Linked DNA regions of Kluyveromyces lactis. The protein of the gene in region 2 binds, or shares a complex with, the protein of the main gene of each other region. Links are inferred from orthologs where the notes say so. Each region holds a gene or a part of one and is shown on either strand. Other genes may lie near its edges.

Evidence for each region.
Region 1: RKR1 (region 2) and CDC48 share a complex: the UniProt entries of both Saccharomyces cerevisiae proteins name them as parts of the ribosome quality control complex. The link is inferred for Kluyveromyces lactis from reciprocal best matches to the Saccharomyces cerevisiae genes RKR1 and CDC48.
Region 3: RKR1 (region 2) and RQC2 share a complex: the UniProt entries of both Saccharomyces cerevisiae proteins name them as parts of the ribosome quality control complex. The link is inferred for Kluyveromyces lactis from reciprocal best matches to the Saccharomyces cerevisiae genes RKR1 and RQC2.

The regions. Positions count from the first base shown.
Region 1 is NC_006042.1:552,987-557,251, reverse strand, and holds CDC48 (AAA family ATPase CDC48), read left to right. Parts: upstream 1-1,353; coding exon 1,354-3,846; downstream 3,847-4,265. Other genes in the region: HNT1 (adenosine 5'-monophosphoramidase), read left to right, coding at 118-169, 318-712; cyclin PCL2, read right to left, coding at 4,261-4,265. UniProt on the Saccharomyces cerevisiae protein: ATP-dependent chaperone which probably uses the energy provided by ATP hydrolysis to generate mechanical force to unfold substrate proteins, disassemble protein complexes, and disaggregate protein aggregates.
Region 2 is NC_006039.1:1,243,891-1,248,067, reverse strand, and holds the start of RKR1 (ubiquitin-protein ligase RKR1), read right to left. Parts: upstream 2,843-4,177; coding exon 1-2,842. Other genes in the region: Hsp90 cochaperone SBA1, read left to right, coding at 3,521-4,075. UniProt on the Saccharomyces cerevisiae protein: E3 ubiquitin-protein ligase component of the ribosome quality control complex (RQC), a ribosome-associated complex that mediates ubiquitination and extraction of incompletely synthesized nascent chains for proteasomal degradation.
Region 3 is NC_006042.1:2,527,351-2,531,480, forward strand, and holds the start of RQC2 (Rqc2p), read right to left. Parts: upstream 2,879-4,130; coding exon 1-2,878. Other genes in the region: deadenylation-dependent mRNA-decapping factor PAT1, read left to right, coding at 3,598-4,130. UniProt on the Saccharomyces cerevisiae protein: Key component of the ribosome quality control complex (RQC), a ribosome-associated complex that mediates the extraction of incompletely synthesized nascent chains from stalled ribosomes as well as their ubiquitin-mediated proteasomal degradation.

The DNA.
Region 1 (4,265 bases), on a different chromosome or scaffold from region 2:
GATGAAAAAAGACTGAACTCCAATTAGTTGCAGATTCTCCAACATTTTCGCAGTCGAAAGAAATATTGCAATAAGTACCGATACGTGTGAATTCAAACGTTTAATAAGCCGATACCAATGAGTGCTGTTGCCCACGACGCTGCTTGTATTTTCTGCAAGATTATCAAAGGTATGTAAACCTCAAATTGTTAGGTGAGAACAAATATCTGTTTCTCCCCTTGGTTTTTGCATGCTCGCAACCACCCAAGTGGCTTAGACTAGCTCTTTGATCTTATGAACTATAATACTAACAGATTCCACTACTGGTGTACTTTCAGGTGAAATCCCTTCTTTCAAATTGGTTGAAACTCAGTATTCTTACTCGTTCCTTGACATCCAACCAACTGAAGAGAACCACATTCTTATCATTCCAAAGCACCACGGTGGGAAATTGCACAACATCCCAGATGAATACTTAGCTGACCTGTTGCCAGTTACTAAGAAGTTAGTGAAAGCCATTGGCTTCGACCAAGATGGTCCTGATGGTCCAGGGTACAATGTCCTTCAAAACAACGGTAGAATAGCCCATCAAGAAGTAGATCACGTGCATTTCCATTTGATCCCAAAGAAAACAAAGGATGCTGGATTAATCGTAGGTTGGCCTGCACAGGAAACTGATTTTGCTAAGCTGAGTGAAATGCATAAAAAGTTGCTTGCCAAACTAGAAACCTAAGCGCGATCTTTTTCGCAATGAAAGAGACCAAGATATGACGAAGATGACGAAGCTGACGAAGCTGACGAAGCTAACGAAGATGATCATTGAGATCGTCTCATATATATTATAACTACATATTTCCTACTGTACCAATTTCTACTTACCATTCACATAAGGAATCCAATAGCTCATTCGCATTGTGGGAGGGATCTTCTTAGAGAGGAGATGAAAAAATATTGTTACCCGGCCGAAATTTCACATATCCGGTGGCAAATTCTGAAATCTCTAGATTATAAAGAGGGAAGCGATTTATTATATATAAGTATTGCACACTATTTTCGGTGATCCTTGAAGGTTATTTTCAGGATTAACACCAGTAAGTGAACGCTAGATTAAATAAAGCACTCACCAGGGATTTACAATAATTGTCTCCTTTAATTGAATCATTGAATCACCAGATTAGGGGTTAGATCAAGTTATTTAATTTTTGTTTTATCTTCCGTCTTTTGGTTGAAATAAGAAGAAATAAGGTCCAATTTCAGAAGTTAATCAAGAAACCTGCATATCCTGTTTACCAAGAGCTTAATTACATCGTGGATCCTACCAGAAGGAATTACAGTATCTTTAAAACAACTTTTCACCTCAGTTATTAAGAGAACATGCCAGAAGAACATAAGAAATTGTTAGATAGTTCTGGCACTGCAGCTGACGCAGATGATGCTACCGCCACTGCCATCTTGAGAAGAAAGAAGAAGCAAAACATGTTACTGGTCGATGATGCAGTTAACGATGACAATTCTATCATTGCTATCAATTCTAACACTATGGATCTTTTACAATTGTTCCGTGGTGACACCGTTTTAGTCAAGGGTAAGAAGAGAAAGGACACCGTTTTGATTGTTATGATTGATGACGAACTGGAAGATGGTGTCTGTAGAGTAAACCGTGTTATTCGTAACAACTTGAGAATAAGACTCGGTGATTTGGTCACTATCCATCCATGTACCGATATCAAGTATGCTTCCAGAATCTCAGTGTTGCCAATCGCTGACACCATCGAGGGGTTGACTGGTAATCTATTTGATGTGTACTTGAAGCCATACTTTGTCGAAGCTTATAGACCGGTTAGAAAAGGTGACCACTTTATCGTTAGAGGTGGTATGAGACAAGTAGAGTTCAAGGTCGTAGACGTTGAGCCTGAAGAGTACGGTGTTGTTGCCCAAGATACTGTCATTCATAGTGAAGGTGAGCCAATTAACAGAGAAGATGAAGAAAATAACATCAATGAAGTCGGTTATGATGATATTGGTGGTTGTCGTAAGCAAATGGCTCAAATTAGAGAATTGGTCGAATTGCCATTGAGACACCCACAACTATTTAAGGCCATTGGTATCAAACCTCCGAAGGGTATTTTGATGTACGGTCCTCCAGGTACCGGTAAAACTCTAATGGCCAGAGCTGTGGCTAACGAGACAGGTGCATTTTTCTTCTTAATCAATGGTCCAGAAGTCATGTCCAAGATGGCTGGTGAATCTGAATCCAACTTGAGAAAGGCTTTCGAAGAAGCAGAAAAGAATGCTCCGGCCATTATTTTTATCGATGAAATTGATTCTATTGCACCAAAGCGTGACAAGACTAACGGTGAAGTGGAAAGAAGAGTCGTTTCTCAATTATTGACTCTAATGGATGGTATGAAGGCTAGATCCAACATCGTTGTCATTGCAGCCACCAATAGACCCAATTCTATCGATCCTGCTTTGAGAAGATTCGGTAGATTTGATAGAGAAGTCGATATTGGTGTTCCTGACGTTACTGGTAGATTGGAAGTCTTACGTATTCACACTAAAAATATGAAGTTGGCTGACGACGTCGACTTAGAAAAGTTGGCCGCTGAAACCCATGGTTATGTTGGTGCTGATATTGCCTCCCTATGTTCTGAAGCTGCTATGCAACAAATTCGTGAAAAGATGGACCTAATTGACTTAGATGAAGACGAAATTGACGCCGAAGTGTTGGACTCATTAGGAGTTACTATGGACAACTTCAGATTTGCATTGGGTAACTCCAACCCATCCGCATTGCGTGAAACCGTTGTAGAATCTGTTAATGTCACATGGGATGATATCGGTGGCTTGGATGAAATTAAGGATGAATTGAAGGAAACCGTCGAATATCCAGTCTTGCATCCAGATCAATACACCAAGTTTGGTTTGTCACCATCGAAGGGTGTGTTGTTCTACGGTCCTCCTGGTACTGGTAAGACTTTGTTAGCTAAGGCTGTCGCCACCGAAGTGTCTGCTAATTTCATTTCGGTCAAGGGTCCTGAGTTATTAAGTATGTGGTACGGTGAGTCCGAATCCAATATCCGTGATATTTTCGACAAAGCCAGAGCTGCAGCCCCAACTGTCGTTTTCTTAGATGAATTGGACTCCATTGCTAAGGCTCGTGGTGGTTCTTTAGGTGATGCAGGTGGTGCATCTGACAGAGTGGTTAACCAATTATTGACCGAAATGGATGGTATGAACGCCAAGAAGAACGTTTTCGTTATTGGTGCCACTAACAGACCAGATCAAATCGATCCAGCTATTTTAAGACCTGGTAGATTGGATCAATTGATCTACGTTCCATTACCAGACGAAACAGGAAGATTATCTATTCTATCAGCCCAATTAAGAAATACACCATTAGAACCAGGACTAGATCTAAAGACCATCGCTCAAGCTACACAGGGATTCTCTGGTGCAGATTTATTATATATCGTACAGAGAGCTGCGAAGTTTGCCATTAAAGATTCCATCGAGGCACAAAAACGTGCAGAAGTTGTCAAGAAAGAAGAAGGTGCAGAAGAAACCGAGAAGGTCAAGACAGAAGAAGACGTTGAAATGTCAGACGTTCAACAAGAGGATCCAGTTCCATTCATTACCAAAGAACACTTCACTGAAGCTATGAAAACAGCCAAGCGTTCTGTTACAGATACTGAGCTTCGTCGTTACGAAGCTTATGCTCAACAGATGAAGGCATCCAGAGGACAATTCGGCAACTTCTCGTTTGGTGATGATTCAGGTGCTGCCGCAACTCAAGCTGGTGCTGAGGGTTCTGGTGCAGCTTTCGGAGATGCCGCTGGTGAAGATGACGATGATTTGTACAGTTAGATACATAACCTTCACAAAACATAACAGGTCTTTTTCGATGCAAAATGAAATGTAATAAATTACAATACAGAGGAATACTTGTTGCTAAATTTACGTAGAGATTAAATATTATCTATTAATCACGTGTAACAGGATATTTGAGATAACTGGTTTTAATATGGTTAAAAGATTCATCAGTCTTAGCTATCCCTTCCAATTTTGGGTCTTGAATTCATCTTTAATTCGACCTAGTAGTGCAATGGTATATTTTCGCCAGGCAAAGCAATACAGGGTCTCCGAAGTAAAACCAAATTATATTAATGAATACATATATGTGCGAGAGTATGTACGTTTGAATGAAATAGAAAGTTGAGAGAAAGAAATGCAAATACCAAATAGTCACCTACGTGCTTCAATGTGTTGGCAATCCGTCCGTTAAT
Region 2 (4,177 bases):
TAAAGACACATAAATTGGCACTTACTGTGTTAAACTTGAAGCTTGCAGCGAAAATCGCATACATGTAAAGAGTACGTGGGACAAGCAATGCCTTGCTAGAAAGCAAACTTCTAGCAGTTCGCAAGAAGCCATCCATAATTTTATCAAACTGAGAGATAGAGAGATAGTCAACACTGTTGAGGCAAATTCTATAGATAATTTTGCAATTGTAAAAGGATGTGACCTCCGAAGAGTTCTTGTCGAAGAGAACAGTGAGAATTTCATTGCTTTGGTCTTCTGTAAATGAAGAGATCAAATCTTCGAAAGAGACATTCACACAGGAGGAGAATATGTTGTTTTCATGGAAATATGTTATTTGTTCATCGCTCAAACAATTATAATCAGCAGTTAATTCGTAGCATCTCGTTAAAAACAACAAATGCGAAGTACTGACTTCATCTGGGAACCGGGTTAAGATCTTATCCACAACTTGTGACAGTCTAATCAATTTCAAATAATCGACTAATGAAGCGTCTCCTTTAGCTGTCAATATATGTGGCAGTAAGCCTAAGGGAGAAGTGACGGATGTGCGTGTATCGATTTTATTGATGTATCTGGAAAACATGACTTCCAAATCTAAACTAATAAAAAGCCTGGTAAGTAAGGACTCCTGTTGTAGTTGAAGAACAAATTCATCAATGCTATCTTCCGTTATCAAGCATTCAACGGATATAGTATCGAGAACAGTCTTAAAAACAGCATTTGCAATTGTTTGGTCAGAATGTGCTGTAGTTGGTATTGTAACTTTTTGATCAACAATTAGACTCTGTGATAGAAAATCTGAATTTGATAATAGAGTTATATATGCTTCGCTTGTTTCTGGAATTTCGGTGCAATAATCTTTAAATGCCTTGACATGACCTTGCTTCTTAGAAGCTTCATATAACCTGAGTAGAAGAGAACCGTTTAGTATTTTTGATTTGAAAATAGAATCATCATCAAACTGATAAGTGGAGACAAAATCTTCGGTGAAATCCTTGTAGGATTGACTTGAATGCATGAGTTTTGAGAGAAATTCACTATTCAAGCGAGCCAAAAACGAAGGAATTGCCTTCTTTGGTGTTTCATATTGGGATAAAACCATTATAAAATCGTCAAAATACTGTTCCCAAGTAGAATTCGCTAAGAATGCAGAGTTTGAAAAATCTATCATCACATCCATTGGAATTTTGAAGAAAGCCTCAGAGACTAACGTGGGTAATACGTCGATAAAAGTATTAATCTCTTTGGTAAGGTTCAAGTTATTGGTTTTGATCAAGTTATCGTAGAAAATGAAGCCATAACAAGAAGGAAGATCGTCAGGATTTTCCAACTCCTCCAAAGATTTCATAACTTCAACGCTCAACATATGCATAGTTGTGATATCACTGGACAAAATGAGACAGGTATTGGATATAAGTAAGACTTCCTTTCTTTTTTCACCTTTACCCAAAGGAAGTAGATCAATGATTAGATCGTATAAAAAAGCATAGTTGATGCGTGTAGGTGATAACTCTAAAACAAGCTCAGGAATTTCCTTTAGGTCTTTGGTGGTGATAAGCCTTAAGATGTTAGGATGAAGTTGTTGAATGCTGTCTTGGTCCGATGATGAAATACTAAACTTGATGCAATTTTTCCAAGCCTCGATCAATGACTTGTATCCATTCCGACCTAGTACCCGCCGATCATTTTCATGATCGAGATATTTGATCCAGATCGAGAGCCATTCTTGATGTTCAAGTATGCTCGATTCAGCAGAAAGTTGATATGCCAAAGAGTAATATACTGGATCCGATATTCCAGGCCCCAATGAGAGGAATGTAAGTAATCGCTCTTTACTTTTCTTTTCATAAGACCAGAATTTACCATCTTTGTACTTGTTCATCTCCAACAACGTTTTCAAAATGTCAGGTAAAACAGATGATACTGAAATAAGAGTTTTTGCGTTACATTGTGACAACGACACGAGTAATTTCTTGGAGGCAAGTTTCAAAGCTTCCTTGTTTTTTCGATATAGTTGTCTAGACCGAAGTTCAATCATTAGATGTAAAAGAGACTGGTATCCCTTCAAATTTTTTGTATCTTTTAAACTTAGGTTATTCCAGAATTCTTCATCTGTGAGTATTTCGTGCAAAGTCTCCATTTGATCAGTGGTAAGTTCCTCGACACTAATAAGTTTAGTTAAAGTGCGGATGGATGCAATTAATAATTGATTATATCTCAATGAAATGTCTTCCTTTGTGTAATATCTTTCATCGGATATGGACTTTGCAGTTTCTACTATAATAACCTGTTTAATAAAATTTAAAATCTCTGAGGTGAATAGTTTCCATAATGAGTTAACTTTATTAGAGTCCTTGAAACAGTTGAGCAAACTATCAGAACATGATCTTCCAACCGCCGTATCTACATCGAAGAGTCCACTCAAAAGCATTGGGATAAGCTCTTTCAGAAACTTGGACACACGTTTCCCAAACTTCGCTATCAAAGTAGCAGTGAATTGATGTGCCTGGATTCTTATAGTCTTCGAATCAGACGAGATCAACTTTGCATAAATTTGGCACCATGATAGTATGAACATATCATCTTGGAAAATAGAGAGTTTATCGTCATCTTGTATAAAGGATAAAAGATCATTCAAAGCCTTTTCCTTGGTAGTATTCGCTCGCTTTAGTAATGACTTGAAACACAATTGCAAGTCAGTAGATTGAACGTTTTGCAATATCGGTAGACCATCGAAATAGTTCAAAGTTACTTTAACACCATTGTAGCCTAATCCTAAAGTTGATGAAGAGTCAGTAAAAACGTTAGTGTTAAATGACATAGTATTCAAATGACCGTTACTATGAATGGCCCGTATGAGTTACTGCTTTTCGGTTTGATCGAGACCTTTCGTTAATTGCTGATGATGTGCAGTAGAAACGAAATCTCAAGTACCTAATTTTTTTTTCACTTTCTTATATAAGTCTTGCATACGCATACAGCGGAGGGATATATACATATGAATATACTATACGCAGTACGAATGACCAGGATTAGCGGAAATTTTCCAGTTGCTAAAATTCAGAGGTCGAAGTTTCCCTTTGTTGAGGCGAAATCAGCTCAATCCTAGTGTGTGGATATATATACATATATATCACGTGACCTAGATGGTTTCTTGAAAGAACTTCGAAAGTCTCCAACCATCACTGTCTATAAATTGATCCACATATAGAGTCTTTGTAAGTGCACATTGCTAGCTTGGTATTTTTCGGAAAAGGATGTATGACTGGTGGTGGTTGGTGTTGTATCTTGTCTCTCTCTCCCATATCGTTAAATTTTATCTAGAAGCTTCCTGCTCTTCTGTTTTATATTTAAAGGTAACCTTGAAATTTGAAGCAGTTACAGAAAATGTTAATAACAAATATTGCGTTCACATACAAACTGTTACTCAAACAAAGAGAGTACAATTGGAACAAATTACACTTAAACCGCCAATTACCAATCAATAAATCAAATTAACATGTCAGTTCACACTCCAGAAGTTTTATGGGCTCAACGTTCAAGCGAATCCGATGATACCAAGAACAATTTGTTCATTACCATCAATATTCCAGACTGTACGAACCCTAAAATGGAATTAACCGAAAATTCTTTGGAATTCAGTGCACTATCTAAGTATCACAGTAAAGATGGGATCAAATACCATTTGCACATTGACTTCTACAAGCCAATTGATACGGAAAACTCGGAGCAGAGGGTAGCTAACGGTAGAAACTACTTTTTGGTGTTAAGGAAGAAAGATTTAGGCCTTGAATACTGGCCCAGATTGACCAAGGAGAAGCTTAAGTATCATTACATTAAAACCGACTTTGATAAATGGGTTGACGAAGATGAACAAGAAGAGAATGTTGCTGCTGATAACGACTTGATGTCACAATTTGGCCAAATGGGGGGCGCTGGCTTCCCTGGAATGGAACAAGGTTTCAATCCACAAGCCTTCGCTGACGCCGGAATCAACCTGGATGAGGCATTACCAGAAGAAGATGATGAAGATGACGAAGAAAAAGCTGAATAGGTATGATCGGATGGTCTGCAAAGGCGATTTCTATCAAGATTTAATTCATTTATTTGCTGTATACAGTCATGCGCATATATAGGTGTATAAATACGAACAAAA
Region 3 (4,130 bases), on a different chromosome or scaffold from region 2:
TTCTATTCAAGAAGTAATGTAGAGTTTCATTAATAGATTTGCTCTTCTTTGCAGTGCCAGGCTGTATTTTGACTTTATACTTATTTTTAGTTAAAGCAGCCCAGGGGGCATAGACAGGGATAACGTCAGCTATTTTATCATCTTTGGAAATACCGGTTTTCAATTGATTCAAAAATTTTGGAATATCAACTTCGACCTTTTCTGATTTGTTAAACTGCAAGATGCGAGTTTGCTCTTGGTTTTTACGTATCCGCTTTTTAAACTCCCTCTTTTCGGCTCTTTCCATCTCTTCAAGTTTTTTTTGCTTCTCTCTTTCAATACCTTTTAATGTTCCAAGTGCTTCTAGTCTCAATAATCTTTCTTCTTCATCTTGGTCAAAGTACTTCTTTTGGATTTTTTTCAATTTCCCTCTCTTACCACGAACCGCTGTATTCATATTTTCAACAATTGAAGTAGCTATAGTCTTACTCTCATCAAAATCCTCTTCACCTTTGGATAAATCACTATTTGAGAGTTTCTCGTACCCATCAGTGGCCTCTTCTCCTGCTAAAGCCACTTCATCGAAATTGTTGACATCGAACCCTAGATCATTAATTTCTTTTGAAATAACGTTTACATTATTATCAATTTGGTCGACTGGGTTTGTTTCCGGCTGAGAAGTATGACTTGTATCATCGTCAGATGCTTCTAAGTCACTATTTTGTTCATACTCACCCTCTTTTTCCTCGCTATCCTCTGTCTTTACTTTCCACACAAGTCCTAATCCCATCACTAATTGTGCTGGTGGCAACATGTTTTTAGCTTTAGGTTGTTTCATTCTAAATGATCCAACTGGAAGAACACTGCCATCAATGTCGTCAAATTTCGTTACATTTTTAGCGAAACACCACCAAGGAGAGGATGCAATCTTTTTTGACCATGCATCACTTGCAGAATTTGCAAAAGTACCAGCTTGCATTAGTGTGTTTGGTGGTACTTCAGTCTTCTGAGGGTTCAAAATCCAAGCCTTCACGTCAAATGCATTGGTGACCATAATGTCATCGTCATTAACATACTTTGCATAAAGTTGATCAGTTTCGACGGGACTCTTACCCATCAGTACGAGAAAACTTTCGCTAGAAATAAACCAGTAATATTTTTCGAAAAAATATGGAGTTCTAATTGCTTTCAAGATATCATGAGATTCCTTTGACTTCTTTTGTAGATCTTTTTCGATCTTTTGCTGGATACTTTTTAAAGCCTTTTCAGCATTCTTCTCAACTTTTTTTTGTTTCTCTGATGTCGCCTTTTTGGCGTTGAAATAACTGGAGGCGTTTGCAAATGCCGATAAAGATAAATCGACTGTCAGCAGAACAGTTTCCCGTTTCTCTGATGTTATCTTGGATTTTCTTCTACTTTGCTGTTTACTTTTGGATGAAGTTAGTTCTTCAAAATCAGAATCAGAATAATCCGATGAGACAGAGGAATCTGATTGGTTAACATCACTTTCGTTTGATGAATAATCAGCTTCTGACTGATGATGTTCAGTAGAATCATCCTCGCTGTACCCATCTTTTGGTAATTCAATGGTAATTTTATTATTTGGTAAATCCATTGGCAGCTTAATGATCCGAGCAATCTTGTTGCCTTTCCGCTGCTCGTTTGCTATTAAAGTTTCCATACTTTGCCAGTCCATTTGTTGGTCCAATAAGCTTTTAACTGCATTCTTGGCCTCTTCTACTAAATTTGCATTAGCTATCAAAATGTTTCCTTTTTCTTCGTTAGTTTGTTGTGCATGTAATAACGATTTTATAATAGTTTCATTGTTATTCTTTGCCTCATCCAATTTTTTTTGAGCCTGGAAATCCTGATTTTGGATACGGCTAGCATATTTGTTTGATTCTATTGTAGAAAAGAATGTGTCTACGGTATTATTGTACATTCCGCCGATTTCGATAATTTTGACGTCAGTGGAATCTCCTACAAAGGGTTTGAAGGGATGGAAATTTGAAAAAGTGTATTCAAGTTCCGGCTTGTCTCTTAAAGGATCGTACAGTTTGTTCTTATGAGCCACTATATAACCTATTCTTGTTGACGTAGTCGAGATCAATTTATTTGCTTGAACTTCTAATGAGGACATTAAGTCAACAAGCACAGAGACATTGTGTTTAAACTCAAGACACGAAGAAGATGGATCAATACCAATAGCTTTCAACGAGTTTTGAATCAAATCACTTGATAAATGTGGAGCATGAACAAATAAAAGTTTTTGAATAGACGGAACAGATGCTTTTCCCTTGAGTTTACCTTTTTTAGCCTCTCCGGGCACAATTGTGCTTTTGGCTTTAACGTCGGCTTCTTTCAACCAATCTGCTATTTCATTTTCGAAATATTCCTTAGGATCAGGAACCGTAGTTGAAGTTTGGTTAATTTCTGCAAAGTTGGCCATGTCATAAAATTCACCAACTTTCATCGAATAATCATCGACAACTCTCTGTAGTAAAAGAATTTTTTGGTCAGCATCCAATAAAAGCACATTTCCGGCACTGAAAAATTCTAAAACAAGGTAGTACTTACCATCAGCAAAAGTAAACACAATTATTCTGTCATTTGGGATCTGCTTAACTGCCGTCAATCGTTTTTCTTTCAAATACGATCTCAATTTGGAAACAAACCACGAAGGAGTCGGGGGAATCGGCCTGGTAAAGTCAGTAGTATGAACTCGCAATCCGCAATCAATGACAACGTTTAACTTGGAATCGGGTTTTCCAAACTTTAATAAGAATTGCCTGTTTGAGTCAGCAATGTTATAGATATTTCTTAAGCGAAATCCTACAATTTGATTCTCCAACTCTTTGGATATCAGTTGCAAATCTAACGAACTCAATCTCTGTTTCATTTTCTAGTATCAAATCCAAGATTATAGTTTAGATATTTCGTACTCTCCAAGTTGCAGTTAAGTCCACTTTACCAGTCTGAGTTGATTCTTTTCGAGCACTATACTTGATTCAGATCTTCATACAAATCAGTATTTTCACTGCTAATCAGATTAAAATTATTAGAACTTGGTCACTGCTATTAGATCAGATATCTTTTATTACTTAGGTTTAAGACTAAACTGCTAAGCTGATATATTTTCCAGATAGCTGTACCTAGGATGTTAGTAGTATATGTCATCTTTGTCTATTCGCAATCACTTTATATATGCTGCTAATGAAGGAAAGAAAGACTACGTACGAGTTTGTATTGGAACTTTCTAAACTACCATGTTGAAAAATGTCAAATATTTGAAATCACATGACCTGAATTTCAAATTTTGAACTAGAAATCCTTAATATGTATATCATCTTGCACGGTGAAATTTTTCATCAAACAACAACCCAAAAATGTAATTCACTTAACAAGCAAAGTAGTTTCTATGCTCAAAAATAAGTGATCAGAGATATTCAGAGACCGTTTGTTGGAAGATTGCTTGAACGAAACGCAGGCAGGTAGCGACTTAAATCACATTACTTGTGTTTTTAAGAGAATATAATAGGATTTGTCGACAATTCTGATCTAGAAATCGATTTTTGCCCAATTAGTATAGGAGTCCTTATATTCCTGAATCACTGAACGATGTCATTCTTCGGTTTTGACGCCACGGGCCGAAAACCTCGTGAGAGGAAACAGCAAGGCGAGGAGGATTCTTTAGATTTCGAAGAAACGTATCAAGGCTTGGGTGATTATGAGCCAGAGGAAGATGATTTGCTCAATGATGAAACTTTTGGTACTGGAGCGGATCTGGGTACAGATTTTGATTTTGGTTACGGTAAAGGGGAGCTTGGCGCTGGTTCAGGTTCTGGTAGGGCACCAGCACCAGCTCCTGTTTCTTATGCATCTATTGCAAATGCCAAAATGAACAGACAAGCAGACTGTAAACCTGGTTTCGAACAATCGCTGGACATGCAACCTATGGAATCTTTATGGGGTAACAGCTCCGGTAATCAGCAACAACAGGTGCAACCTCAAGCCCCTACACAATTCCAAGCCCCACCACAGGTTCAACAGCAAGGTGCACCTAATGTGGAAGGATTGGCCATTCAATCTTTAGACAGACAACAACAGATGGCTATGCCGCCTCAACCTGGATTCTATGGTATGCAACCTCC